Linked DNA regions of Cricetulus griseus. The protein of the gene in region 5 interacts with the protein of the main gene of each other region in a pairwise test. Links are inferred from orthologs where the notes say so. Each region holds a gene or a part of one and is shown on either strand. Other genes may lie near its edges.

What was found.
Region 1: the proteins of Tead4 (region 5) and Wwtr1 interact in binary tests that used the Homo sapiens proteins (3 or more experiments, as listed by UniProt). The two-hybrid records come from large-scale screens. The link is inferred for Cricetulus griseus from reciprocal best matches to the Homo sapiens genes TEAD4 and WWTR1.
Region 2: the proteins of Tead4 (region 5) and Trim27 interact in binary tests that used the Homo sapiens proteins (3 or more experiments, as listed by UniProt). The two-hybrid records come from large-scale screens. The link is inferred for Cricetulus griseus from reciprocal best matches to the Homo sapiens genes TEAD4 and TRIM27.
Region 3: the proteins of Tead4 (region 5) and Cep70 interact in a two-hybrid assay, tested with the Homo sapiens proteins (2 studies listed by BioGRID). The two-hybrid records come from large-scale screens. The link is inferred for Cricetulus griseus from reciprocal best matches to the Homo sapiens genes TEAD4 and CEP70.
Region 4: the proteins of Tead4 (region 5) and Golga2 interact in binary tests that used the Homo sapiens proteins (3 or more experiments, as listed by UniProt). The two-hybrid records come from large-scale screens. The link is inferred for Cricetulus griseus from reciprocal best matches to the Homo sapiens genes TEAD4 and GOLGA2.
Region 6: the proteins of Tead4 (region 5) and Ssx2ip interact in a two-hybrid assay, tested with the Homo sapiens proteins (2 studies listed by BioGRID). The two-hybrid records come from large-scale screens. The link is inferred for Cricetulus griseus from reciprocal best matches to the Homo sapiens genes TEAD4 and SSX2IP.
Region 7: the proteins of Tead4 (region 5) and Mtus2 interact in binary tests that used the Homo sapiens proteins (3 or more experiments, as listed by UniProt). The link is inferred for Cricetulus griseus from reciprocal best matches to the Homo sapiens genes TEAD4 and MTUS2.

Annotation. Positions count from the first base shown.
Region 1 is NW_023276806.1:93,868,004-93,872,531, forward strand, and holds the start of Wwtr1 (WW domain-containing transcription regulator protein 1), read left to right. Parts: upstream 1-1,704; 5' UTR 1,705-1,719; coding exon 1,720-1,886; exon of another isoform or gene 1,887-1,999; intron 2,000-2,336; coding exon 2,337-2,771; intron 2,772-4,528. UniProt on the Homo sapiens protein: Transcriptional coactivator which acts as a downstream regulatory target in the Hippo signaling pathway that plays a pivotal role in organ size control and tumor suppression by restricting proliferation and promoting apoptosis.
Region 2 is NC_048596.1:243,527,541-243,532,001, reverse strand, and holds the start of Trim27 (zinc finger protein RFP), read right to left. Parts: upstream 2,871-4,461; coding exon 2,451-2,870; intron 1,334-2,450; coding exon 1,238-1,333; intron 1-1,237. UniProt on the Homo sapiens protein: E3 ubiquitin-protein ligase that mediates ubiquitination of various substrates and thereby plays a role in diffent processes including proliferation, innate immunity, apoptosis, immune response or autophagy.
Region 3 is NC_048597.1:207,691,787-207,695,581, reverse strand, and holds part of Cep70 (centrosomal protein of 70 kDa), read right to left. Parts: intron 3,696-3,795; coding exon 3,572-3,695; intron 2,725-3,571; coding exon 2,544-2,724; intron 1-2,543.
Region 4 is NC_048599.1:144,035,689-144,039,483, forward strand, and holds part of Golga2 (golgin subfamily A member 2), read left to right. Parts: intron 1-862; coding exon 863-921; intron 922-1,153; coding exon 1,154-1,295; intron 1,296-1,828; coding exon 1,829-1,918; intron 1,919-2,021; coding exon 2,022-2,129; intron 2,130-2,273; coding exon 2,274-2,361; intron 2,362-2,738; coding exon 2,739-3,076; intron 3,077-3,287; coding exon 3,288-3,401; intron 3,402-3,795. UniProt on the Homo sapiens protein: Peripheral membrane component of the cis-Golgi stack that acts as a membrane skeleton that maintains the structure of the Golgi apparatus, and as a vesicle thether that facilitates vesicle fusion to the Golgi membrane.
Region 5 is NC_048601.1:18,130,200-18,134,743, reverse strand, and holds the start of Tead4 (transcriptional enhancer factor TEF-3), read right to left. Parts: upstream 3,021-4,544; 5' UTR 3,018-3,020; coding exon 2,918-3,017; intron 1-2,917. UniProt on the Homo sapiens protein: Transcription factor which plays a key role in the Hippo signaling pathway, a pathway involved in organ size control and tumor suppression by restricting proliferation and promoting apoptosis.
Region 6 is NW_023276806.1:12,729,806-12,733,600, forward strand, and holds part of Ssx2ip (afadin- and alpha-actinin-binding protein), read right to left. Parts: intron 2,696-3,795; coding exon 2,530-2,695; intron 1,437-2,529; coding exon 1,259-1,436; 3' UTR 1-1,258. UniProt on the Homo sapiens protein: Belongs to an adhesion system, which plays a role in the organization of homotypic, interneuronal and heterotypic cell-cell adherens junctions (AJs).
Region 7 is NC_048597.1:83,800,694-83,804,993, forward strand, and holds the start of Mtus2 (microtubule-associated tumor suppressor candidate 2), read left to right. Parts: upstream 1-1,261; 5' UTR 1,262-1,630; intron 1,631-2,891; 5' UTR 2,892-2,994; intron 2,995-4,300. UniProt on the Homo sapiens protein: Binds microtubules. Together with MAPRE1 may target the microtubule depolymerase KIF2C to the plus-end of microtubules. May regulate the dynamics of microtubules at their growing distal tip.

The DNA.
Region 1 (4,528 bases), on a different chromosome or scaffold from region 5:
TGTTTGATTTGTACAAATTTTATACACCTATATAGTTAGGGGTTGGGTAACCATTTTTCAGGCAAACAGGGGCCATGAGTGGAAAGTTCAAGAGGCCTTGACATAAGGCTACGCTGTTTTTGCCCAGCTTCTGAGAGGCATGGAGGTCACAGCTCAAGCATAGTTAACACTTTGGAATAGGATACAGTTATTCGAGTAGACTAAAATTTTTTTTTAAATATCATTTTTATTGGGGTGGGAGGGACTTATGTGGAAACCAGAGGGCAACTTATGGAAGTTGGTTCTCTCCTTCCACCATGTTGGGTGTGGAAATGGAGCTCAGTTTGTCAGGCTTGCCCGCAAGGGTCTTTACCTGTTGAGCCATATCGTTATCCACTCTTCTATTTCTTAAAGTGCCTTTGTCCTTTCAACTTTCTGGTAGATCATAGGCCTCTTCATTTTTCTATAACTCTGTCCGTCAACTGTGGATTTAATTTTGACTTTATTTTGCTCTTTAACAAGGTGAGTCACAATGCCTGAGTTTAATATAATTCTGTTGACAAACTTGTACCCAGCCCAGGCTAAGCAAAGTGTTTTACGGGTATTGCCTTACTTAGCTTATCATTAATAAACGTCTATTAGAATCTGTGGGTCGGGTAGGGGCTTCCTGGAATTTGACTTAACATGCGGCCACCCTTTCTTGGAGAGAGGCCGAAGGAAAGAAGGAATAGAGTTGAGCAGCTGGCAGTAGGAAGGGCAAGGCCGCCTCCCTCTTCCTGGCAGCTGTCTTACCAGGCCTGAACTCCTTTTTCCCAAAGGCAGGCAGGGGTCTCCACCTCTGGCCCAGGTCCAGTCGCTGGGAGGGTGGGTAGCTTTTTCCGAGTCACTGACACACCCTCTCCATCTTAGCCACCTGCCCCGGTTCCATCCCAGTTCCAGGCTCCCTGGAGGGACTCAGGGACATTCCAATCCTCCCACTACCCTCTCAGACGCCGCGGGAGGAGGGAAGGGGGCGCAATTGCTTGGCTCTTCTAGAACTCAGCGTTGTCTGTTTTTTTTTTTTTTTTCTTTCAACCCCAAGTATCCTGGATTCACCCGGTAGAGCAAACTAACTATTGATGAAAGGCTTGAAGGCTGGTAGTTTACAACCGATTCTTTGGCAAAGCCGCATCTTCAGCAACAGTGGCACTTTTTGGACACCGTCTACGCTCTTGCAGACAATTGAAAGCCAAACCGCCAAGTTGCCTCCTCACCAGACCAAATATGGTCACAAGCGCTAAGCAGCCTTCCGTGGAAAGTCTGGCCTCGCGGGTGTCTCCCTGCGCCAGGGTGCGCCCCGGCCCGACCTCGGGCAGATCCGCGCCCCGTGCCGCGATCTCGATGCGGGGGCGCTCCCGTCAAGGCGAGGGCACAGCGCCCTGGACCGACCCTTTCTGGCCCCTGGCCCCTCGACAACGACTACGTGCCCTCCGTTATCCTCAGGCTTGGATTTTGTCCATAACCCCTTGATTTAACAAGCTTGAGCCATTTTCTCTTTGATCCCGCCCCAAGTCAGTGGTAAACTCAAAGGAATGCAGATAGAGCGCTCGGCGGGAGAGGTCGGCGCGGCGGGGCGGGGGCACGGTCTCACTCGCCGCGAAGTGCCCAGCCCACCCCGCCCGCCCGCCCGCCAGCCCGACCGACCGACCCGGGTGGGAGGAGGAGGAAGAGGAGGGGCAGGCTGACTCCGGCCAGGAGGTCATGCATAATTCAACAGCTCCACTTTCGGCCCGCCTCTTTCCTAGGGGTGGGAGTTTGCTGCAAACTTTGTTTATGGGACAGTCCGGGAGCCTTGGCCGCTGCTCTCGTCTGCTGCTTCTCCGTCGCCTCCTCGCTCAGTGCGAGCGCCCGGGGCTAGCTCCGGGGATGTAAGAGTCCAAACTTTCGGCTGCTAGGAATTCGCTCAGGATCTGCCAGACGGGACCGGGTTCCAGCTCGCTAGCTCGGGAGGCTCCCAGGCTCGGCTTCCCCGCGTGCCCAGGTAGCACCCGCCGCGCCCCGCACCCTCCCGGGCGCCGGGCTCTTCGGCGTCCGCGGTCCCGGCGCCTGGGATCGGCGGTGGGTGTATTGCTCAGGGGAGGCTGCGACCGGGCCTGATGCAGGCACCCTTCCACCTCCCACCGCTGCCTGCTCAAGGGAGCTTCTTAGCTGCGGGAAAGTTGCATAATCTCGGAGGCCAGGGGCGCCCCCTCCCCCCACCGCTGGTCCCTCGACCGGTACCTAACTGTCTCTGCGTTTTTTTTTTTTCTGTCCTTCCCCTGCACAATCTCCTCTGACTTCAACTAAAAGGATGAACTGATCTTCCTTTTCCCTTGCAGAAAGATGAATCCGTCCTCGGTCCCTCCTGGGCTCCCGCCGCCAGGGCAGCAAGTCATCCACGTCACGCAGGACCTCGACACGGACCTCGAAGCCCTCTTCAACTCTGTCATGAACCCCAAGCCCAGCTCTTGGCGGAAAAAGATCCTGCCGGAATCCTTCTTCAAGGAGCCGGATTCTGGCTCGCACTCGCGCCAGTCCAGCACCGACTCATCGGGCGGCCACCCCGGGCCTCGACTGGCAGGCGGCGCGCAGCACGTCCGCTCGCACTCGTCGCCCGCATCCCTGCAGCTAGGCACTGGTGCGGGCGCCGCTGGGGGCCCTGCACAACAGCACGCGCATCTCCGTCAGCAATCCTATGACGTGACCGACGAGCTGCCACTGCCCCCCGGGTGGGAGATGACCTTCACGGCCACTGGCCAGAGATACTTCCTCAAGTAAGTCAGCCGGCAGCCAAGAGGGGCACAACTGTGATGCCCAGGACGCTGTCGCTTTCGTGGTGTGTGCGTGCGTGTGTGTTTGACTGAGACTCTTCCAAGGTTCTTCAGAGAATTGCAAAGTTGGGAAACTAGGGAGTGAGTCTCTGGGAGTTGGACTTGACTAGAAGCAGGGAGCAGCTTTTGTGATCTTAGACACTTAATTCCCTCCTTTAACTAGTTCAGAGCCAGGTCTATTAGCATAAGATAACAGGAACTTTGGGAGACCTTGGAAGCGGTGGGTCTGCCATGAGTAGGTCGTCTGGGTGCTTCAAACAGTCAGGAAAAGCAAGCCGGAAAAGAGCACAGTGCCTAGTGGGTTTACCTCTCCCAGCTGGTGATGTAATGACCACACAGCACAGTGATGTAATTACCAACTGCATTGTAAAGTAGTTATGGGCTGGACCAACAAATTGTGTGGAAATTGGGTCAGGAGTCTTATTATGTTACACTTGGTAACCTATAATACCATCACATTAGGAGTGTGCATTGTCATCGGTCGTGTCACATTGGTCTGGCTTCTTCATGTAGTGAATTTTACATTAGACTCAGTTTTTGGATTAGGTTGTACAGGAAAAATATATTTTCAAATGCTAGAGGAGGTTGGCATTCCTGAGGAAAGAAACAGGCTGGAACTGGAATTGTTATCAGAACCAGTGAGATCATAGGGGTCAGGCTAGCAAAGGCCTATTTGGAAGTTGTAGCTGAACCACTTGGTGCAGAATCACTTCTTGGCTAATCTTCACTGCCAAAAGGAAAAGTGCCTACGAACATGTCTTGAAGTTCATCATAGAGCTGTATCTCTTTGTTGAAGTAGCCTTGTTTCAAAGGTTCAAATGTAAGGTAGCATGTACTATTTTAAAAGTTTAACCAAACTCCTTTTTGGCATTTATCTTTGATACTTCGATTGTTGAGGCCCTAAGAATGAGCATATGGTGGTGGATGAATTTATTATGGGCAAGTCTGAGACTCATACGGGTTGTCATTTCTTCCTTCCCCATCCCAAAGCTGCTGATATTTTGTTTATATTAAGATTTATTTTGCTGGGCAGTGGTGGCACACAACTTTAATCCTAGCACCAGGGAGGCAGAGACAGACAGAAGTCTGTGAGTCTGAGGCCAGCCTGGTCTACAAATTGAGTTCTAGGACAGCCAGACCTATTACTCAGAGAAACCCTGTCTTGAAAAACAAAAACAAGAAAAGATTTATTATATTATTTTCTGTGTATGTGTGTGTGCCTGGGGATATGTGTATGTACCACATACATGAAGTGCCCATGGAGGCCAGAAGAGGGTATTTAATTCCTGGGAACTGGCAGTGTGAGCTGCAACTCCCCTAATTGGGGATTAGGTTGCTAGGAACTGAACTCCAGTCCTCTGCAAGAGCATCAAATGGTCTTGACCACTGAGCTATCCCTCTAGCCTCTTCTTGGGAATACTTTTAATTATTTTTATCTTTGTTTTGGGGGTTGGTGTGATGGTGATGTCCTGAAGCCAACTCAGCAGTCTTTTATCACAGTCGGTGTCTGGATTACTGAGCCATGGTATAGATGTGTGCTCAGTGCTTTGGTTTCTAAATAGTGTTAAAGTCAGGTACATGATGTAATAGCATGGTATTTTTCTAAGTTTACAAAGTGCACGCATGTTCAAAATATCATCATGTATTAAGTTCACTTAGGTAAATGCAGCTGTACATATTTCACCAGGATTTTTACTAAC
Region 2 (4,461 bases), on a different chromosome or scaffold from region 5:
ATGGGAAGATTGGAACGTCAAGGTCATCTTTAGCTGTATAATAAATTCAAGATCATCTCAAAAAAAAAAAAAAAAAAAACCAAGAGTTCTAACAAAAGAATTATAAGTGTGCCAGTGCATACCTGTAATCCCTGTACCTGGAGAGACTGAGCAAGGAATATTGAGAGTTCAAAACATCTCTGGCCTACATAGTGAAATTATCTCTAAAGAAATAAGCAAATGGCTCTAGAACAGTCAAGAAATATTGTCCTTGAATCCAGCCACATCCATTCACTTATGTATTAGACATGGATGCTTTTGAGATATAGTAACTGGGCTGTTTGTGTAAACCCACAAAGTTTAAAAATACTACTGGCCCTTTTTAGAAAGTTTGTCAAACCTGATCTGAACTCAGCTGTTTCAAGTGCTCCCCCATCACACCTCTAGCCAATCTTCTTAGGCACTTATCAGGCATCTTCTATCAAGCACTTAGGCACGCACACGCACGCACCCACCCCCCCTTTGGTTTATAGACCCTTTCGATAAGCTCATACCTCTTCTCAGCTGGGTAAGTCTTTCAAAGGCATAAAGCATACAATGTAATCTTAGATGTACAAAATTAAAACTAAAAGAAACCTTAACGATCATGTTTCCTAAAGGGTGTGACTAACACCCCTACAGGAACAATTTGCCTGGCATAGGTCTGTTTCTTGCTGTAAAACACTTATCAACCTTGTCCCACATCCCCACTCAGTCTTTGACTCCGCCCAAAACAAGCCATTTACCATTTCAAGGGCAGAAAGGGCAGCACTGGCCTGCTGGAGAACCACAGGTTTCATCTGACCTCTCTGTTTCACAAAGAAATGAAGGCCCAGAGAGGCTGTACCACCTCTCCATTTAAACTGGCTAAGTGTCAGAGCCAAAAAGAAAATCCAAGGTTCTGGATTCCTAGAGGCTGTCTCTCTCTGGACAAAACCTCCCAGAGACCTGACATTGTTCTATGTGTAATTTCAGTTTACTCAGGATCATTGAGAAGTTTCCTTCATCCTATTTTCAAGCAAGGGGTGACAAGGTCTCATTCAGCCCTACATGGCAGAGCTAAGTGGTGGGACTGACAGACATCATGTGCTGTTTGGAAGTTTCTCACTGCACCCTGGCCAAGACTGAGACTTCTCAAGGATTACCAGAGACTGCTAGTAGTTCAAAAGTTTACTGCCCAGATGCAAGGCCTCTGCAGGGTGGAGATCTGGACCCTTACCAAGAGCTCAGCTCTGGCTTGCTCCCCCTGTGCCCGGCGTCTCTTCTTCAAGTCTTTCACTCTTCTTAGATGGTCCAGCCGATTCTGGATTTGTTCCTGAAGAAAGCAAACAGTTGGGCAGTTGAAGATCATGCAGATTCCAGCATCAGAATAGTTACTCTGTGTATCACACGGGAACCCAAACTAGAGGTGCCAAGGCCCGGCTGCACTGTCCTCAGACCACAATGCCACTCCGGGGAAGAGCCCAAAGCACAGGGGCCAGCACAGCTCTGCTTTAGTGATTTGTTTTAAACTCTGAGCCACCTACCAATTCCTAGATGGGTTCTGCAGAAGTTATGAGACATCTGGGTAAGGAGGCTCAAAAGCTAAGGTGTACCTCTTCTTCGGAGGAATACAGAGAAAATTATTTATTTATTTTCCTCACACACAGAATCAGTAAACATCACTTCTCCAAACTACGACTCATCACCAGTGAGTGAACTGATACAGCTCTGTAAATGGAACTGACATTTGGATGAACTCACATTTAAACAAATACAATTCTGTTTATGTGTGTATTATCTCTGCAGCCCTCAAAATAGACTCATTGTCACTTTAGAGCTCCTTTATAAGTAACATTTTTGCATTACTGTGTAGCCGTGCCAGTGTTTATTCAACAGTTCACAAAGGCCTCTTCAGGTCTTGTGAGTTCACTTACTCTTCATAACAACGGTTATCTCCCGAGTCTCAGAGTGGCTAAATGATTTACTCAAGTAGTAAAGAACTGTGTTCATTTCCATTAGCTTCTAGAACAGGTTACAGGGAAGTGCTGGGGACATAGATTAAGTGATAGGCATTGCTTGATGTGAACTCAGCCAGCAAACAGCAACTGTTTAGTCTGATATCCCGGGCCAGATGAGTTCGAGGTCTCCAAGGCCTACCAAAGTGGACAGGGCTCGATGTGCATCTCCTTTGTCAAAGGGAGGGTCTCCTCGCGCCGGTCCCTGCCCCGCACGCGTTGAGGCAGTTAACAGGGGGTGCTGGGAGAAGGGATGGGGGTGGGGACGCATCTGGCCTCGCCAGCTACAGGTTCTCCTTCCGAGTCTGAGTGCGGAGGCCCCGCAGCCGACAAGGAGGAAATGACGGCGCTGGGCCCCACGTCCGGCTCGCCATTTTCTCGGCGGCAGGCCGGGAAGCCCCCGGCTCGCCCCTTTGTCCGCCGGCCCGGCCCTACCTTAAAGCCCTCCACCGCCTCCTCCAGCGGCAGCACGCTGTGGCCACGGTGCTCCCGCGAGCGGTCGCACACCACGCAGATGGGCATCTGGTCCTGCTCACAGTACAGCTTCAGAGGCTCGCGGTGCTTCTCGCACACGCCCATCTCGCCGCCGGGCCCCGACGGCCGCTCCGTGCGCAGCTGCTTCACCAGCTGGGTCACGTTGGCCAGGTGCCGGTTGGGCCGCATGTGGCGCTGCGGGAAGGTCTCCCGGCACTGCGGGCACGACACGTTAGTCTCCGCGGCACCCCAGCAGCGGGCCAGGCAAGCGCAACAGATGTTGTGGCCGCAGTCGAGCATCATGGGCTCCACGAAGTACTGAAGACACACGGGGCAGGTGGTCTCCTGCTGCAGGCACTCGGCCACGCTCCCGGAGGCCATGGCGCGGGCCCACTGGGCCGCAGGGCATGAGCACGGAGCCGAGCTCTAGCGGAGCCCGGCGCGCTCGCTCGGCTTCTCCGCTCCGGAGCGGGGCGGGGCCTCCGAGGCCGGGATCCCAGACGCGTGCGGAGCTCTCGGGCGGCCACGTCAATCCCCGCACAGCTGCACCCCGCCGACAGGGAGGGAAGGCCTGGGTCCCGGAGCCCGGCAGGGGGCCGAGCAGAGGGGTGCCGGGAGCCGGGGGCCGCGGACTGGCTCACAGGGCAACGTGGCCCCGTCGGAACGAATCCCCGGGCCGCGCAGACTCCTCAGGGCCGAGCGGAAGAGGTGGACCGGGGGCGGGGCCTGGCTTCGCGCGCCACTCTCCTCCCGGCCAGAAGGCGGGTTTTCTCAGCGCTGTCCTGGAGTCCCCAGAGCCGGAGGGAGACCCGGCACCCAGCCTGGGGATCGGTGGTGGTGGCGGCCCAGCGCCGTGTGCGCAGGGTGCCCCGGCCGTGGGGTCTGCGGGACCGTAGTCTTTTGTTGGGCTTCCTCTTAGTGCCTAGGCCTCGGCTCCTTTAAAAGTCTGATGGCTTTGTATAAGTGCTGCGAAGCCGGGCGGGGAGGCCCGATAAGCCCCTCCCTGTGTGTGAAGCACTCTGAAACACACCCAGCTCCAGGCGATTACCAATTGCTAGAAAAAGATTGAATTAGCAGCAACTTTTCTGAAGGGCAGAAACTGAGAAGCCCAGGTCTACTTCCACCGTGAAGTAAGTGGGTTTACCGTCCCGAGCCTTCTTTTCTTCTGATGTGAGGTGGAGATTGTTAGAATCCGGACCAGGGCGCTGATCATCAGACCCTGAAACCTACTGAAGTCCTCCCCGTTCCCCCTAGCATCCCACGGAGCCATCCCACGGAGAGCCCGCTTTTGAGTCCCTATCTTCTTAACAGGCTCCCTAAGTGCCCAAATTTCTCACTTCACCAAGCCAGGTTGCCAGACCAGACGTGCCAAAAGGGCTAGATGGCGACACACCTCCCTGCCCTCTTCCCTGCCACCTGGTGAGGAATCAGCCTAGCTGCAGGTTCCTAAGAGACCCTCTAAGGACCCGGATTCTGCCACTTGAGCCTCGTTCTCAGAATCCCCCTCCCCCGACCCCACCCCCAGGCCTGCTCCCTATGGCGCCGGGGCCTGAAATTCTGAGAGTATGCGGTGCTGTGTTCCTTCCGCACTTGGCGTTAATAATTCTAGTAATTTCTTACTCCCAACAATCCGCTTCAGTGTCCCCCTTGAGCCACATACTCTATGTCTTTCAGGGATATACCCCAGCAAGGAGTTGTATTTTTTATTAATTCATTTTTTACATTCCACTGTTTTGTTTTTTAAGTTTGAGCCATGAAGATGTTTACCCATTAGCTTAAGTAAAATACCCAGTGCATTGGATAGCATTGAGTAGAACCTAAAAGTTGCTTGTTTCTGCTCTATCGAGAATCCTGTGATGAACCGAGCTCTCGTAGCCCCAGTAATGTCCATTCTCCTAGCACAGAATAATTTTTCAGTTCTGCTCAGTGTCACCGCTGATGGAGCATTTCCTGCTTTTCTTGTGGATTGTCT
Region 3 (3,795 bases), on a different chromosome or scaffold from region 5:
GACTTCTGTAAGCTGTGTGTAAGTGCACTATGAGCTATACAGATGAGACTGTGAAGTCTGTGCAGAACATTACAAGCTTATATAAACGTGTATTATGATCTGTACTACTTCAGTATGGGCTCTAAATCATGTGCACTGTGAGCTCTATTCAGGTCACTGTGAGCTCTATAAAATAGGCACTGAGTACTCTGTTAGGGTACCTGGAGTCCATAAAGGACACTGTGAGCTCACGGATATCATTATGTCCTTTAATCAAGAGCACCTTAAGCTATACAGAGGTGCATGATGAGCTTCATAAAGGACATTGTGAGTTACACAGATACACTGTGAGTTCAATATAACTGTCAAACACACACAGAGGGGTGGTTGTGTGTGCACTTCAAGGTATGTACTTGGGAATATGAAGTCTAAACAAGTGCTTTATGAGTTCTATTCATGTGTGATGTGAACTCAGTGGAGATACACTGTAAAATGTACACAAGTCACTATCATGGCATGGAGCTCTAAACAAGTTCACACTGAGAAATACACAAGGCACTTTGAAAAAGGCTGTCCTAGTTCCATACAGAGTACTATGAGATCTATAATGATCTTTAAAGACTATAAAGAGAATTCTGCCAGGCAGTGGTGAGGCACACCCTTAGTCCCAGCATTTGGGAGGCAGACATAGATAGATCTCTGAGTTTGAAGCTAGCCTGGTCTACAGAGCGAGTTCCAGGACAGGCTCCAAAGTTACACAGAGAAACCCTGTCTCGAAAAAAACCAAACCAAACCAAACCAAAAAAGAATACTAAAAATTCTTTATGTACAAGATGAGGTCTGAACTTGGAGTTCTACAAAAGTGAACTATGAGTTCTACAGAGAACCTCAGGAGCTCTCCACATGTCCTATGATGGCTAAATAAGGTAGTATGGATATTAAAAAAGGTATACTCTGAACTTCATACAGTTGTAATATGAACTCAAGCTGGAGCACACAATATACTCAATAGAAGTGCACTATGGGTTCTACATGGCACTATGCACTTTATATAGGGCACTCAAAGCTCCAGCAGTGAATTATGAGATCTATATAGGATTCAATAAGCTCTATTGTCTTAGTTGGGGTAACTATTGTTGTGATAAAACATCATGACCAAAAACAAGTTGAAGAGGAAAGGGTTTATTTGACTCATAGTCTCACATCACAATCTATCATTGAAGGAAGTCAGGACAGGAAATCAAATAGGGCAGGAACCTGCAGATAGGAACTGATGCAGAGGTCATGTAGGGGTTCTGCTTACTAGCTTGTCCCCATGGCTGGCCCAACCTGGTTTCTTCCTGGCTTTTTGTTTTTTGTTTTGTTTTGTTTTTATTGTTTTTCGAGACCCAACCTGGTTTCTTCCTGGTTTTTTGTTTTTTGTTTTGTTTTTTTGTTTTTTTGTTTTTCGAGACAGAGTTTCTCTGTGTAGTTTGGAGCCTGTCCTGGAACTAGATTTGTAGACCAGGCTAGCCTCAAACTCACAGAGATCTGCCTGCCTCTGCCTGCTGAGTGCTGGGATTAAAGGCGTGTGCCACCACCACCCGGCTTCCAGCCTGGTTTCTTACCTAGGATCACCTGCCCAAGGGTGGCCTTACCCATAATGGGATGGGGTCTCCCACATCAATCAGTAGTTAAGAAAATGCCCCACATACAGGTACACTATGAGATCTATATAGAACACCATAAACTCGAAGCAGAGCATTATGGGCTACATTAAAGCACTATGAGCTGTGTACATGGGAATATATGCTTAATACGGGCAACAAGGTATTATGACATTATAAAAAATATTGTACTAGGATTTCTTTGTAGATAACTATGACTTTCTACAATATTCATTATGGGATGTACATGGAGATTATGAGGCATTTACAATGAAATCTGACCTCATTGCAGGGCAATATGAGATCTATTCAGAAATTGTCACATATATACAGGACACTATGTCTCTAAACATGGCACTATGGTTGCTATCAGGTAGACTGCTAGACATTTACAAGTGTAGGGAAATCCCTGTGCAGGCTCAATGAGCTATGCAACAGTGCAGTATGAGATGCCAAAGGACTCAGTGGTTAAGAGCACTTCCGGCTCTTCCAAAAGATGTGGATTCAGTTCCCAGCATCCACATCTGAAGCTCACAAGCTCCTGTTGTTACTACCCCAGTTCCAGGGGACCTAGCACCCTCTTCTGGCCTCCAAAGATACCCATACATATGTGGCATATACTCATATAGATACACACATGCATCTTTTAGGGATATTCATGAAACTATAACATGCAGCCTCATAGATGAATCTCAAAATGAGGTGCTAAGTAGAAAAGATCACCTATTAACATTATTAACCTATGCCAATGTAAACTGCTTTCCTTTAACAATCTTTACACACACTTCAAGCATTTGGATTTCCTTGACCTTAGCCACAGACATACATACACCCTGGAAGTGACATGGAAATTACCTGGGACTATGAAGAACTTTCAATATTAACCATCAAATAAGAAAAGATATGTCAATACAATACCTGTAATACTTTATGCTCTTTTTGAAGATCTTGCATTCTTTGTTGTTGCTGAAAAACTCTGCTTATGGACTGATCTTCTAATTCACCAATTTTGGATTTCACACTGTCCATAATCTGCTCCAGGTCATTGGCTCGCTGTTCCTGGTGTGTTGCTCGGTTCTGTTCCAGCTGAAGTTCACTTCTAATCAAGAGAGACACTTCCTTCCCTCAGTGTTAAAATAAATCAGATTGTACATGACATATAACAGACTACTTTCCAAAATATCTCTACATTCTTAACATTTTTTACCTTTTTTATTGCTGAAAATCAAAGATTAGCATAATTAGTACTGAGCTGTACCCCAGCCTCAACACTTCTATCTTGTAACAGGAGTATAACCATGCTTCCTGACATACCCAATCTCATCTATAAGAGAAAGTAAATAGGATAGAGGGTACCATTACATATTGATGCTAAGTTCTACTGAAAGTCGTTTACTTAATTTTTGCCCATTTATTTGTAAAAGCAATTTTGCTTTACATTTAATAAAAATGAAATTTCAGGGGGCTAGAGAGATGGTTCAGCAGATAAGAGCATTAGCTACTTTTCCAGAGGACCCAGGTTCAGTTCCCAACCCCTACATGGTGGTTCACAATCATTCATAACTCTAGTTCCAGGGGATCTGATGTACTCTTCTGAACTCTGGATTCAAGTACCCACATGGTACATTATGTACATTGTTGACAGAAATAAAATAAATTTTAAAAAAGTACAATGAGGGGCTGGAGAGATGGCTCAGAGGTTAAGAGCACTGACTGCTCTTCCAGAGGTCCTGAGTTCAATTCCCAGCAACCACATGGTGGCTCACAACCATCCGTTATGAGATCTGGTGCCCTCTTCTGGTGTGCAGATATACATTGAAGCAGAATGTTGTATACATAATAAATAAATAAAATCTTTAAAAAAAAAATAAGTACAATGAAGACATTTCAGGATCCTCCCCAGGGAGTTGTGCTTAGAATGCATGCAAACAAGCCCGCTGTCTTACTTAAGCTGCTGGTTGGTCTCTATGAGGTCCCGGATCATGCTCTGCTGACGTGTTGTTTCTTCTATCAACATTTTCAAAGTCTGCCTCATTCTTTGTGATGATTGTTTGTCAAAAACGATGAGCTCTACATTGATATACATACATATATATAATATATATATACATATATATGTATATATAATACATAATACATATACATACACACACATATATATGCCATGAAA
Region 4 (3,795 bases), on a different chromosome or scaffold from region 5:
TAGAGTAACTGATTAGCCTATACAAGAACTTGAGTTTGGTTCCCAGCTTTGTAAAAAAAATATTATTAATTAAAAACAAAAACAGGGCTGGAGAGATGGCTTAGCAGTTCAGAGCACAGGCTGCTCTTCCAGAGGATTCAGGTTTGATTCCCAGTTACCCACATGGTGGCTCACAACTATCCATAATTTATGCTTGTGGTGATTAGACATATGTGTAGGCAAAACAACAATACACATATAATAAACAACATTTTAAAAATATTAAACAAAACCAAAAAACAAACACCAGACGGTGGTGGCGCACGCCTTTAATCCCAGCACTTGGGAAGCAGAGGCAGGCAGATCTCTGTGAGCTTGAGACCAGCCTGGTCTACAAGAGCTAGTTCGAGGACAGGCTCTGAAGTTACACAGAGAAACCCTATCTCAAAAAACAAAGCAAAACAAAAAAACCAACCCTGAAGGCTATGACTGATGGTGTGGACTTTTGGTCTCCCAGGCTGCATTAGGAAGATCATCTAAGCACAGGAGGTTGAAGCCAGCTATGATAACATAGTGTGACCCCACCTTAAAAACAAAACAAAGTCAGGCAGTCATGGTGCACACTGGAGGCAGACTCAGGCAGATCTCTGAGTTTAAAGCCAGCCTGGACTAGAGAGGGACATCCAGGGCTACACAGAGAAACCCTGTCTAGAAAAACCAAACAGACACACAGAAACCTAAGACCACAGGCTTAGAAAAGCCTTGGGAAACATCAGTGTGGTTGGGAAAAAGAGATGTCACTGTGAAATCACTGGGGCCGTTGGTGTTGTGCCAGCTGTTTCTTTAGCCTGCCAGGTCCAGACTCAGCTCTCTTTATCTGTAGTACAACAAGGACCTAACCAAAGAGCGAGATGCCCTCAAGCTGGAGCTGTACAAGAACAAGTAAGAATGGGAAGGAGGTTGGGCTTCCTGCAGCTTTAGTGTGGGAAATTGAGGCTCAGAGGAGACAGGTTTAGCCTTGTGTAGATCTATGCGCTAGTCCCAGCCATACTTGTGACTCATGGTATGATCTGTCACTTGTGTCTGTGACTTTGTAGCAAGGCTCATAAGTTGCTCTAAAATGTGGTCCTTTCTGTTCTTGGTTCTTTCTTTTCTGCATTACCTCTGGCCATAGCAAAAATAATGAGGACCTGAAGCAGCAGAACTCAGAACTGGAAGAGAAACTTCGAGTCTTAGTGGCAGAGAAAGCAGCTGCACAGTCAGGGGTGGAGGACCTGCAGAAGAAGCTGGAAATGTCGGAGCTGCTGCTGCAGCAGGTGAGAGGTGCAGCTCATACCCCTAAGGCCCAGGCACACAGTCTCAGCATCCTTGGTGGTGACCTGTAGCCAAGCACTGGAGAGTTTGAAGCCTCCTCCTGGTCCTGCTGTAGACCTGACCTATATAGTCATAATCTTAGTGGTTGTGATATGGCTGTTAAAGTTTTCTTTTTTGATTTATCCTGGTTGAAAAACCATCTTTTTTGTTACTTTATTTATTGATTGATTTTGAGACAAAGTCTTATCAGTAGCCAGGTTGACCTGTAACTCACTAGGCAACCAGACTAGTCTTGAACTCATGGTAATCTTTCTACCTTAGCCTTCCAAGTGCTGAGGTTGCAGGTGTGACCCACTGTGCCTAGCTGAAAAGCCATCATTCTGCTTCATTTAAATGACACACGCAAGAGGCTGTTCACCACCTCCTGGCACTTTTCTCACATGGCATCTGAGCTTCTCATATGAGTTATCCATTAATCTGGCTCACTCTTGTGGGAAGCACTGTGGTGGATGAAACCTTCATTTTCCTTTTACAGTTCTCAAGCCAATCTGAGGCCTCTGATAGTAACCAGCAGTTACAACATGCCATGGAGGAGCGGGCTCAGCTGGAGACCCATGTAGGCCAGGTGAGGAGGATGTGTTGGGGGAGAGGATGGCATGACCCCAGGTGGCCAAGGGCCGGTGAGAACCAGTGATAGCCCTTTGTAACTTGTGTGTTGACTGATGCAGTTGATGGAGTCTCTGAAACAGCTCCAGATGGAGAGAGACCAGTATGCAGAAAACCTGAAAGGAGAAAGTGCCATGTGGCAGCAGAGGGTACAGCAAATGGCAGAGCAGGTGAGGCCTGGCCCCTGGTGTCTTTGCTCTTCCTGAGCATCAGTGGGGCGCAGCTGAGGGGTTAGGGGCTTCAGTTTTATGGAGGTGGGACTGGGAATGGATGGTGCCCGGGATCCCCAGCTCTTTCCCTCTGCCTTTGGGCAGGTGCACACTCTGAAGGAGGAGAAGGAACACAGAGAAAGTCAGGTACAAGAGCTGGAGACCAGCTTGGCCGAACTCAGAAGTCAGATGGGTGAGTAGGGCAAGAGTGACCTGAGAGCAGGAGTGGGTCCAAAGGCCATTAAGGTGGCTTCCATTGCCTTGGGGTGGCAGGTGGGTGCAAGGGCATTGTAGCAGAGGGCAAGGGGTCTCTGCCAGGAGGTAGCAAATCTTGTCATCCCTCTGAGCATGTGTCCCTCTGTGCAAAGCAGGGTGCCATGGCTACTGCTACCCCCTGCAGGTGACTTAGTATCACTTAACTGTACTAGACTGGTTTGAAATGCTTACCTCCTCTCAGACCCTGACAGACAAGAAGCCAAGGCTTGGGGCAGGGGGCCTGACTTGAGCTCACAATGGAGCCTATCTGAGAAGCCAAGGGCGGTTCCCCTCACTGCCTGCTTCCTTTCTTAGAGGAGCCGCCACCCCCACCGCCCCCAGCTGGACCCTCTGAGGTGGAACAGCGGCTGCAGGGAGAGGTTGAACAACTGCAGAAGGAACTGGAGAATCTGACAGAACAGCTGAGGGCCCAGGTGCAGGATAATGAGAGCCTGAGCCACCTGAACCGGGAGCAGGAGGAGCGGCTGCTGGAGCTGGAGCGGGCAGCAGAGCGCTGGAGTGAGCAGACTGAGGAGCGCAAGCAGATCCTGGAGAGCATGCAGAGTGACCGCACCACCATCAGCAGAGCGCTGTCACAGAACCGCGAGCTAAAGGAGCAGTTGGCTGAGCTGCAAAACGGCTTCGTCAGGCTGGTGCGTGCGCAGCCTGCAGGCCTCCTTACCCAAGGGATGGGGTGCTGTCCACCTCACATGAAATGGTAGTGGTGTGGGCACCCAGCAAGCCAGAGCTCTGGGGCTTGTAGGAATGATCCAGAAGCCTTCCTTGCTCTGTGGGAGGAGGTGCATATGCAGGTCTGGGCACCCTAGCCACTTTAGGTCCTACTGACGGCTGCTTTCTGTCCAGACCAACGAGAACATGGAGATCACCAGTGCACTGCAGTCAGAGCAGCATGTCAAGAAAGAGCTGGCCAAGAAGCTGGGAGAGCTGCAGGAGAGGCTGGGGGAGCTGAAGGAGACGGTAAGACCTACTGCATGTGGTGCCAGCCACTGGATTTGGAGAGGGGAAATGCAAGGCCCATCACAGATTAGCTGCAGCCTGGGAGCAGGCTTGCAAGTCAGCCTATGACTGTTGTATTAGAGATGGTTATCCCTGGACTGCTCTTCGTCTGGGTCAAGACCAGAAGGTGAGTCTTTATAGTTAGAGGTTATACAAGGCTCTGGGTTCAGGCTGGATTCACATCCATTTGTTCACATGCTTCCTATCACCAAACCTGATTACTGATCTTAAAAGATGAGTTTCCTCATACAAGTGTTGAACATTAACTGAGAAAATGTCCATAGACTATTGGGCACTAGTGGTTTGTGCAGAACAATATAGATTGGTTCCGTCAGCTCTTCCATACCTAGGGCCT
Region 5 (4,544 bases):
GTCAGGGGATGGAGCCCACTGACAGAGGGTTTATTGAGCATGCTTGAGTAGTTCTATCTTTAGCACTACCAATAAATAATAATAATAATAATAATAATAATAATAATGTGATCCTGGTCGGGCATTGGTGGTGCACGTCTTTAATCCCAGCAGAGGCAGGGGGATCTCTGTGAGTTCGAGGCCAGCCTGGTCTCCAGAGCGAGTGCCAGGACAGCCTCGAAAGCTACACAGTGAAACCCTGTCTCGAAAAACCAATAATAATAATAATAATAATAATAATAATAATAATAATAGTGTGATCCACTAATCCTGCTTCTTGGCACACACCCAAAAGAACTGAAAGCAGGAACTCCAAAAGACATCTGTACACGAATGTTCATAGCAGCGCTATTCACAACAGCCAAAAAAAGGAGAGTTCCTGCTTTCATCCCTCCATGAGTACAGAATGAGGTGTGGGTATACGATGGACTGCTATTAGCACTAAAAAGGAAGGTAACCCTATCACAGGCTGTGACATGGATGGGCGCTGATATTATATTAAGTAAAACAAGCCAGTCACAGAAAAAAAGACAGTGAGTACGGGTACACACATAGAAGGTGATGCACATTCTTACAGATAAGGTGCCATGAAGGTTGCCAGGGGTTGGGGGAGGGAGGGCTGTTGTCTAACAGATACAGGCTGTTCAGCTCTTAAGCTCCAAACTTGGGGTGCAAAATCTGAACTCTTCAACAGGCCTGGCAGCCCTAAAGATGAAGATTAATATCTGACAGTGATTAATTAACCTTCTAATGCATAATGCCCCATTAATTTTGGTGTTGGACTTCATTTTCTCCGTGGGCCTAACATAAGCACAGCTCATACACTCTGAGCTGGGCCTAGGGCAACATGAAGAGGAGGGCTAGCCCCGTATCACCTTTCATGATGGCCCCACCCCCACCACGTGCCAGAGGAGGTAGTCTTTGGGCCCTGCCTCTCTTCAACATTGCCCTTCCCTACACTGCAAAGTTGGGACCAAGACAGCCCAGAAGAACAGGCCTGGGCGAACTAGAGACCATCTGTGCCAGACTGCCCCATGGGAGAGGTTTTCTGAGGACCTGCACTCCATGTTCCCAAGATTGGGACTGTCCCAGAGAAAGTGGGGCAGCAGGTCACACAAGGCCCTAGGACATGGGATTCATTACTGCAGTGAGCTGTCCCTGGCCCTGTGTGGCTGTGGTGCTCCTGGTCCCTGGTCGTGACTGGCTGGCCACTCCTACCCTTCCTTACTAGGCAAACTGCCCACACAAGCCTGCCCTGTGGCCAGAAAAATGGGGTAAGTCAGCCTCAGCTCAGAGATGTTCCTCCTGCTCCTCCCCCAAGTGACCCTCCAGGGGAGTGGTGGGGTGGGAAACAGATGGCACCGCTGCCCAGACCATGTGCTATGGCCAGAGATATAAAAATAATCCCTGACTTGGCTCTCAGGCCCAGCCTGGAGGCTTCTAGCTCTCTCTGCCCCACCCAAAAGCCACCAGATGTCCTACTTGAGACAACCAGGCCCAAAGAACACTGCACTCTACACCAAGGCCCACAGGTGCTGGCCGTAGGGGACATTTGAGAAGATTCAGGAACTGGGATTGTGTCTGGATCTTCCTAAGGCTCAGAACCCTACGCTCTTCCAGAAACAGAAGAGTGAAGATCCGCAAGTGATTCACAGAGAAGCCACGGCTGCGGGGCACCGTTTGGGTAGAGAGGAGTGTGGCTTGACTGAGAAGGCAACCAAATCCGACTGCTGGGGGCTGGGGTTGCAGCTGTGCCGTAGAACATTTGCCAGCCCAGCCCTCGGACCCTGAGACCTCTCGGTGTCTGGTCCATCTCCCACACAACCTCACTCCCCCAGCCACCAAAGCACACAGTACACAATGTTGCTGTGACAGGCTGGGCCTAGGCTGTCTCACTTGAGCTTGCCTGTTCCCCCAACTGGAGAACACGATTATCACCCAGACATTAGTGTCTGTCCTGTTGCTGGATGGGTGCAGGTAGGAACGCAGGCAGGCAGGCAGCATTACCGTTAATGAGTTGACGCTGCCAAAGGCTCCCTTTGTTTCAGGCCAGGACAAATAACACTACTATTTCACAACAGAGATGTTCTTCCACATACAATGGGATACCATTCTGGTAAACTTACTAGTCAGTTAATAATACCCTAATGCAGAAGGGAAAGGTGATGCATGCCTGTATCTGAGATTCCAGACGCTGAGGCAGGAGGATCATGAGATTGAGAGCATTTCAGTAACCTTCATACTGACTTCCACAGTGGCTGCGACAAGCTCCGCTTCTACCAACAGTGAAGAGCCGTTCCCATGTCCACACCCTCACCAGCACCTACAGTCCTCTGACTTTTGGATGACAGCCTTTCTGAGTGGGGTGAGACGCACTCTCAAAGCAGTTTTAATTTCTATTTCCCTGGTAGTTACTGACATAAAACATTTTTCTCAGATTTTATGTTATGTCTAGCAGTGTTATGCCTGGATGTATGGTATGTGTATAACATGTGTGTCCGGTCCCTGCAAAGGTCAGAAAAGGATGGTGGAGCCACAGAACCAGAATAACAGGTGGTTGTGAGCTGCCATGTGGGTGTCAGGAACTGAACCCAGACCCTCGGCAAGAGCGGCCAGTGCTCTTAACTGCTGAGCCACCTCTCCAGTCCTTCAATGGGATATGCTGTTTTTTAAACTAGAGTACTGACATTAGGGTTTCACTGTGTAGCCCTGGCTAGCCTAAAACTCTCTATGTAGATCAGGCTGGCCTCAAACGCATAATGATCTTCTTGCCTTGATGCCCAACGGCTGGCTAAATGAAAGGCTTGCGCCTGTGCACTCTGCCGACATACTTTTACACTATGGCTCTGTATATCCCATGAAATATACTTTTAATTACCTGCGTCAAAGCAATGCTGGCAACCCCATGACCATGTGGCTGGTTGGGCACTCTGGCTCACTGCTGCTGCCCCACACGGCAAAAACATACTGTTTATCATTAGCTGGGAAAACAGTAAAATTTCTACTGAATGTGCATCACTTCCACACTGTAATACAGAAAGATCACAAGTTGACCTTCGTACACTGGGAGCTGTCTGTGCAGATAACTCATGGGGATGTCAATATGTCATCTGTAACCAACTCCCACGGTCCCCAATCCAAACAGGACGTGATAGAAATTGAAACTCAAAATGTTTACAAGACATGCCTGGTGTTACACAGAAATGACGAAAGAAGTCGGGCCACTCTGAACACAAGGACAGAAACGGTTCCCTCTCCAGGCACTGACTCTAAGAGCTTTGGAGGTGTAGGTCAAAGGTCCAGTCTCACCAAGACCACCCTCATTGCCTGTGGGCTGTGATATTGGTTGGTGACTAGAACAGCCTCTGCATTGCAGTGACCGACCTGTGACTGAAGCTAGGAGGGAAAAGAAAACCTGAGGTTTCCTTCCGGGAGATCCACCCTAACCTAAGGACATATGAGGTGACACAGTGGCTACAGTCATTCACGGTGGGGACAAGTTGGGAATCCCCTTCAGCACAGGGATTCTCCAGGCTGGCAGAACTCCCAATGTGGTTTGATGACCCAGAAAAGAGATAACAAATCTGAACCCCAGATACTCTGCCCTGATCTAATCCTGCTGTGGCCACAGAGACACTGTTTAGGACAGGCCTGGCCCCACCTAGTACAATGGCTCCTGGCTATGACCTAGCCCTGGCTATTCCTACCAGACTGGGCTGTAGAGAGACTGAGCCCACGCCACAGTCCACACTCACCCACAGGTATGACAAAAACTATAAAGCACAAGGACAAGAAGGCCCTGGAAACATCCAAAGAGCAGGGTAGGGAGGGGCTATGAGCCCGCCCTACTCTGACCTCATCTCCAAAAGGAAAGAAAATTAGGCAACGCATGCTGACTCACACCTGTAATTCCAGCACTCTGGAGGCAGAGGCAGGAAGATCACAAGTTCAAAGCCAGCCTGGGGCTACGTAGTGTGTTCCAGGTCACCCACAGATACAGAGTGAGACCATGTCTCATAAGTAAACAAACAAATAAATAATTGGCTGGGCATTAGTGGCAAATGTCTTTAATCCCAACATTCAGATGACAGATGCAGGTGGATCTCTGTGAGTTCAAGGCCAGCCTGGTCTACAAAGAGAGGTCCAGGAAAGCCAAAGCTACATGCAGAGAAACCCTGTCTTGGAAAAAAAAATAAAAAATTAACCAACATAGTGATGAGTGGTGCAGGTTGGTAACCCCAGCACTGAGGAAGCTGAAGCAGGAGCGCTGCCACAGGTTCAAAAGCAGGGTAGGCTACGGTATAAGATCCAATCCACCACCACCCCAAAACAGGCTGATGGCATGCCCACCTGGCACCTAGCATGCACAAGGCTCTAGAATCAGTCCACCCCTTTCAGGAGGGAGGGAAGAAAGAGGGGAGAGAAAATCCAGGCTTGTTTCAGACCCAACTCCACAACCCAGGTCTCCTCTTCCCCCTCCTCCTCCTCTTTCTCTTCCTCCTCTT
Region 6 (3,795 bases), on a different chromosome or scaffold from region 5:
CTATGTGCAGAGACAAGCAGGGGAGGCACTTAAAAGCTTTTGGATGAAAATCCATCCAGGAGAAGCCTGGGCCTAGTCTACATGTATTATCATTGTCATTACTATCAATAGTAACATACTTCTCATGAAGAGACATGCAGCAGAGACACCAGAGACAAAAGAGCCTAAGATTGTTCTGAAAACGAAATGACACAAGGGCGTCCAGAATGTCATATCTCAATTACAAAAGTCAATGTTTTTACATTGTCTTATTTCTTTAGTAGTAGTATCTAGTTGAAAATTTTTTAATTATAAAATTATTGGCAATGATATAAAGTCCTGGCTGGTACAGATATTCCTGTACTGACAACCCATTTGGTAAGGAAAATATCACCATCCAGCTATCTTAAATTATCTTTTATCATCCAAATATCTTAAACCAATGCCCTCATATTGTTATTCAAAGATACTTTCTGTCTTTCCCCCATTACTCCATAATCAATATTCCTCTTAGAAATTATAACATTCACATATATAAAATAAAATATAATGCTTTAAAAATCTCGAAAATGTAATGTTAGTAGTTCTAGTTATCTCAACTCAGCTTTCACAGAGTGGCTTTGAATTTCTATTGCCCAGATGGCTTAAAATAAAATCTTAAATGCCATGTGGCAGTTGCCCTAACGCATCTGTAAACACAATGCCTCTGAAAACATTTTATTGGCATGAAACACTACACTCAAGCGTTGTGTGAAATTTTTAAACCTTAAAGCCTCTTAACATAATCATGTATATCTCTATGTACAGAACATACATAAATTTCACTTTATGTAAAACATATGAAAGAGGTAATCCCAAATCACACTAAACATAATAAATATAGAACTTGCTTTGTTAAAAATCTACAGTATACATTCAAGTGAAGGCTAAACTTCCGGTGCCAACCACATTGGGACAAAAACTGAATGTTTACAATAATCGGTCCCCTGAAAGTGCTATTTTCAATACCTGGAGAGGAAGCCCACTCTTGCCTCTGTCTCATCCAAACACCACACATCCTCTCGTCACAGACCCAGCCGCTCTGTCACTAACTACCACACTCCCAAAGCTTTTGCATCCTTTTCAATAGCTCACATTGCAGTTCTTTGGGGGAAGACGCGAAGTCCAGACAAACAACCCAGACCATCTTAAATTAGATGACTGACTTTATGATACACCCTGTTTAACTCGGACGCGACCTCAGATGCACGCTTTCATGAGAACCCTGCAGTCTGTGTGTCTAAGGTAAGGTGTCTCTTTCCAGGTGAGAACTCGTGTACGTTGAGGAGCAGCCACTGTAGCAGCCTTCCCGTGAACCAGGTCTTGACATCACACTCCATTTCTGATTTGTGCATTCTCTTCCAATCTCATTTGCTTTAGTTTCTTCAGGAGCTATATTCAGCACATTGGTTGAACTCCTGGAAAACAAGGTAAATCTTAATAACTAATTGTCTGCCCCTTGCTGTGGTTAAGAGCAGATGTCCCTGAACACCTTAAGTCTGACGCTCCGGGTCTGTGCTGACAACACAAGCGTCTTGGGAAACCACTTAGGAAGTGAGAGGGCACACTCACAACTGGCCCTATTTGAGAATTCCATCTACCCACATCAGGTACAGACTCTGAGCAGCAAGATGGTCACAGTGCAGATCAATGTCCACTTCCCACAGTTAACCCACCAGGGGATGACTTGCTGGCTCTGTGTTCACATTAGGACCCAGCGCCAAATGGACATGAGCTCTCATCTTAGCTCCAGCGGTGTCTTCTACCTGGCTCTCCTGGCTCACGGCACTGACACCACACTATTTTCGCAGAGAAGAGCGGAGTACTAGTCTTTTAAAGCTCATGGTTTTCTCCCCCTCCTCCTAATATTTGCTCTGTAGCTCTTACAAGATTACTAACCTAAAAATACAGATTAAATTGTTTCAGAAAATGGAATGGAATGGAATTTTATAAATGGAATGGAACCTTCGTTATCACCCTGAGGAAGTGGCTTTTCTTGGCTCTTTGCCTTTCAATACCAGTGTAATGGCACCCAAAGAAACTCAAACTATGTACTCTGGAAAACTATCAAAATGGCATCCTTCAATACAATTACAGTGCTAAGATTTTTAAGTGATTCCTGAAATGTGTTGGCTCTGTCTCTCAGGTTTTAAGGCAGGGTCTCATTATGTAGCCCTGACTGACTTAGAATTGACTATGGGCACTACACTTGCCTCAGACTGGAGAGATTTACTCGCCTCTGTTTCCTGAGTTCTGGCATGAAAGCTGTGCACCACCATGGCTGGCTCCCGAGTCTATACTTTAAATGTAAAGTAAGCCAGGTGCTCCCTTGTTCTCCACTAGACTTCATTACCTAGCACAGAGCGCCCCACCCCCAACTGGGAATCTCTGTACAGACAGAATCTCATTTCTCTCCAAAGCCTCTACTGTCAAAAAAAAACCATGTGTAACAACAAAGCAGTGCCATGCTAACCATTTTCAGTGTGTAAAAAGTCATTTAAAAACAAATACCTGTGTTCAGACACACAGGAACGTGTCTGGCAAATGTCTGAAGTAGAGGGTGAAGCAGGAAGAGACTTAGCCAGTTTTGATGTGCAAGCTGGTGCCCCATTAGTCACACTGTGTGGCTTCTTTTGCCGTGGCCGTGAGTGCACTGTAAGATTGTCTGGATCAGAACCTGGTTTTTAGATAAGGGAAAGAACAGGACACATGTTAAAACACCAGACACAAGGAAGACAGCCAACCAGGATTAATCATGGCAATTTGGAGTAGGATTTGAGAAAGAACAAATTAACTGGTGTCTCTGTTACATATTCTGCAAATAGAAGAATCTAGCTTAAAAAATGGTCAATACCTAAACTCATGAATTTACAAAAACATGGCATTATTACACTCTCACAAAATTAGTTTTTACATGCAAGGTCCTCCTATGAGTCCACTATGATTTCAGTAAATAAACAATTAAGTTGATTTGGGGGCCAGAGGGGACAGTTCCTTATTGAGTTGTAGGCTAGTATGGGTTGGGTTCTGGGTTTGATTGCCAGCACCTGAACACACAGGTGGGCAGAGATTAAAAACAGAAAATAATGTTTCACTTGGATGAAGTCCTAGCAGCACAGAGATCAGCCTGCACAGTGAGGCTGCAGCTCACCTCTGCACAGAGATCAGCCTGCACACAGTGAGGCTGCAGCTCACCTCTGCACAGAGGTCACCCTGAACACAGTGAGGCTGCAGCTCACCTCTGCTCAGAGATCAGCCTGCACACAGTGAGGCTGCAGCTCACCTCTGCACAGAGGTCACCCTGAACACAGTGAGGCTGCAGCTCACCTCTGCTCAGAGATCAGCCTGCACACAGTGAGGCTGCAGCTCACCTCTGCACAGAGGTCACCCTGAACACAATGAGGCTGCAGCTCACCTCTGCACAGAGGTTCCCTGAACACAGTGAGGCTGCAGCTCACCTCTGCTCAGAGATCAGTCTGCACACAGTGAGGCTGCAGCTCACCTCTGCTCAGAGATCAGCCTGCACACAGTGAGGCTGCAGCTCACCTCTGCTCAGGGATCAGCCTGCACACAGTGAGGCTGCAGCTCACCTCTGCTCAGAGATCAGTCTGCACACAGTGAGGCTGCAGCTCACTTCTGCTCAGGGATCAGCCTGCACACAGTGAGGCTGCAGCTCACCTCTGCACAGAGGTTCCCTGAACACAGTGAGGCTGCAGCTCACCTCTGCTCAGAGATCAGCCTGCACACAGTGAGGCTGCAGCTCACCTCTGCACAGAG
Region 7 (4,300 bases), on a different chromosome or scaffold from region 5:
GGCACGAACTAGTCAGGTATGTCTGAAGCAAGTGTTACTAGGAACTCATGTGCACTGAGGGAGGTGTACGGGTATGTGTTGAGGGTAGTGGGAGCAGAGGTCACAGCTGGGAATGCCAAGGCCTGACCAAGTGACACCAGGTGGAGTGAGGCATCATTGATACTCTGGCATGCTTGGCAGTCTTTCACATCCCCATCTTGTCAGGGGAGGGTAGAGCTGTCAGAGGTAAACTGAGTCTCAGAGAGCTTCTCCAGGTCACCTCCCCTTTCTCCAGGTCACGTCCCCTTTCAGATCTCCAGAGTCTGGAAAGAAGAAACTTCCATGAGAAAATATTTCCATGGGAAGGGCCAGTAGGCAAGTTTCAGCTACGTTTTCTTAATTAGTGGTGGATGTGAGAGGGCCAAGCCGATTTCGGGTGATGTCATCCCTGGTCCAGCAAGCCTTGGAGAGCAAGCCAGTAAGCATCATTCCTCTGTGGCCTCTGCTTTAGTTCCTGCCTTGACTTTCCTTTCTGATGGAGTGTAAACTGAAATAAGCCCTTTCTTCCCCAAGTTGTTTTTGGTCATGGGGTTTTATAAGAGCAAGAGAAACCTAAGAAAGACATGGAGCAGAGGGGATTGACCTGTGCCTGGAGCCTGGTAGCAGCAGGTATTAATTAGCTGGGCACAGCCGAAGGGGGAGGGCAGCAGGTCCGTGGTGCCCGCACTGGGACAAAATGAACAGGTTGCACATTGACCTGAGAGCTGGCAACAACCTCCAATAGAGAACATGGAGGCAGAGATGGCTTCAGGATAGGACTGGGAATCCGGGCTGACCTCAAGGGGAGAAGGGCTCTTTCTAGTGCAGAGATTAAAATAAACAGAAAATGTGAGCACTTGATTGCATAATTCCAATTGTATCTAGAATGGGTTTAAAGTGATGTTTAACAATAATTGGTACATAATTGTGCATATTATGACATTTAATAGACATATAGGTCAGCATGGTCACATGAAGGGAATGGCATACCCACAACCTTTGACATCATGTCTTTGTATTGGGATGTTGTACACCAATAACCTCCTAATTCAAACATTTGGTCAGGAGGGAGGCAACTTCAGACTCCGGAAGTAAACAAAACTTACAAGGCTTGTGAAGTTCCTGAAACTTACAAGATTCCCAAGGCTGTTACCCAAGGTTATCTAAGAAGTAACAAAGGCTGGTGGAAGGAGACTCTGAGCCTGCAGGTCATTCTGGGAGCTCCTGGGATGTAGCTCTTGCTTTTAAGATAAATAATAAAGCAATCGATCTTTTCCTTGTAACTGAAAAAATGCAGCCTGCCAGCAAAAGAACTGGCTGAGAAAAGTATCTTGCATGCTTAATCTATAAGAAGTTGCTTGGACATGAATGTGTGTGGGGTTTTGGAGATAATTTGTTTTTCACCTGTAATACATGATATAATCGTGTAAGGGAAATGGGAAACATGCTTTTTTTTTTTTTTTTTCTTTCTTGTATTCACTGCAGTTGTTCACTTGAAAAATAGAATGTCACCACAGTGTAATTTTTATACTGCTTGAAAGATTCTGACTGGGCAAATAAGCTGTAAGGGATATAAATTAAGAATACACAGAAGGGATACATCTGGATAGAGGTAAGAAAAGAAAGAGATAAAAGAGAGATATGATAGAAAGACTCTAAAGGGTGTGTGTGTGTGTTTGTGTGTGTGTGTGTGTTTTCCTTTTTCGCCAGCCCCAGGGAGTTAAGTTTGCCCCAATGACCAGCCCCCCAAAATTAAGTTTTACATCCTCAGATAGAAAAGTCAATTGTGTGATTAGTCTGCTCGATTTCATGGCTCCCCCTCAAATCCTGAGCTGCTGAAGGCTGGTCCTCATGGCAGCAACACAGCATGGAAACAGAAACAGATCCGGTTTTTTGTTTTGTTTTGTTTTTTGTTTTGGCATATTCAATTACCAATGTCAACCATAGTGTCTGTTGGGTTCCTGAATGTTCAGAGTTCTTCTATGCAACTGTACCTGTCAACCACCCCCTCCCCGTCCCTGTCCTTCCCTGATGCTCACTCCTGTCCCTTGGTAATCGTTCTACTTTCTGTTCTAGTGACCTGGAGTTTTTAGCTTCCACATGTATGAGTGGGTGTGCAGTGTTTGTTTTTCTGTGTCTGACACCTCACTTTATGGAATGCATTTGGGTTGATGTTTTGCTGTGGCTAGTTCCCGGATATGAGTGTCTTTTATAAGAATACAGACTTGACTGCAGGGTCATGGGTGGGGCTCAGGCATACGTGTTTTAAAAGAATGATCCCAGGATACTTATTATTGCATAGAGATACCTCCTGCCGATGGATGTCTGAGATTTCAAGATAGCAAGGTGTACTGGCTTGCTTTTCCGTTGCTGTGATAAAACACTGGCCAAAATCATCTTGGGAAGGAAAGGATTTATTTGGCTTACACTTCCAGGTTACAAACTGTCAGTAAGTGAAGTCAGGGCAGGAACTCTAGGGAGGTGCTCAAATAAACTCTGGAGAGGAATGCTGCTTGCTGACTCACTCTCTGACCCAGGCTCAGGCTCGGGCTCATGTTTATGTTTAGCTATCTTTCTATAGCATCCTTCATTCATCTGCCTAGGGATGGTACCACCCACAGTGGGCTAGGCCCTCTCACTTTAATCAACCAATCTGATTCAGGCAGTCCCTCAGTTGATGTTCCCTCTTTCCAGTTGAGTGTAGGTTGTATCAAATTGACAGCCAGGACAGAGGGTGAAGCCAATTTTTGGTCGGCTTGATAGTGTTTCTCAAATTATGCTGTGGTTCTACTCCATCAAACCTTGAGAGAAAATTTGTTTGAGGGTGGTAGGGTTCCACATATCATAACTTGTCTTTCTTTTCTCTGGTCCAGTGGGACTCCTGGGTGTCAATGAGCGTGCTTGGCTTAGAGTCATATGAATGTCACCTGCCTTACTTCCTTCTCTGACCCTGGGATACAGAAAATCCATCAGCAGGTATGCGTTAGCCTTCTTGCTATGTATCTAGTGACCATACACTTTGTGGCATAAAACCCTTCGCTATCTTATGTTCCCACAGTTGTGGAGTTCAGGCATGGCTTAGCTGGACCTGTTCCACAGGCCATAATGTGGCCATCAGCCAGGCTGGCTCTTAGATGGAGCTTGGAGCTCCTCCAGTGTTCCTGGTTGTTGGCAGAATCCACTTCCTTCTGGTTATACAACTTCTTATTTGTGATGGACTGTAGGTCTATAGGTCTGTAGGTCATTGGCAGTCTGCTATTACATGGCAGATGTGTCTGAGACCAATACAGACAGGCATTTTCTTTCTGTATCTCTCTGGGTAGCCCTTGCATTCATATAAGGTAGCTGAATGAAGAAAGTGATGTCCTGTCCTCTCTACAGAATGGCTGTGTATTAACCTGCTTAGGCTGCCACGACAAACTACCTTAGACCAGTCTGATTATTATATCTTTTTTTTTTTTTTTCACTTTAAAGGTGTGGGTAAGGGGGCCTAATCACTCTTCCAAGGTCCTGGTTGATAGGTTATCCAATTCCAAGTGGTCAACACTAAATACATGTACATATGAACAGTACTAAATGGATTGGGTTTGTGTGTGTATGTCTAATAATTAAAAAAGGTCATGAATTTGATAGTCAGTGGGGGAGAGGGGACATGGGAGAAGTTAGAGGGAGGTCAAAATGATGGAAATACAGTACTCATATATGAAATTCTCAGAAAAAGAAATGAAGTTAATTCGGGCAGTGGTGGTACACACCTTTAATCCCAGGACTCAGGAGGCAGAGGCAAGTGGATCTCTGTGAGTTCAAGGCCAGCCTGGTCTACAAAGTGAGTTCCAGAACAGCCTCCAAAACCACAGAGAAACCCTATCTGGAAAAACCAAAACCAAAACCAACGCCCCCCCCCCAAAAAAAAAACAAACAAAAAAAATGAAGTTAAAAACAATTCACAACCTCCCCAAACTGCACCAGGCTGGTATTCAAGCATTTCAACACATGAGCTTGTGAGGGACAATTTCATAGTTAATTTATAAAATTGTCACATCATAGCTATTGCTGCCTTATGCCATTTCAGAGTCTTAGGCTCAGCCAGTGAGGACCGGTTGGTGAACAATGAGCAACCTTCTTCCCAGGAAAGCAAATGCCTTTCTGGAAGCTCCCAGAAGATCATAGCTTAGCTTTCATGCATGTCAGGTAGAGATTTCGGTATATCCACAGACACTGACTTTGTTTCAGCAGAAAAACAAAGAATTTTCCTGGGAAGACATAGCATTCCCTCCAAGAG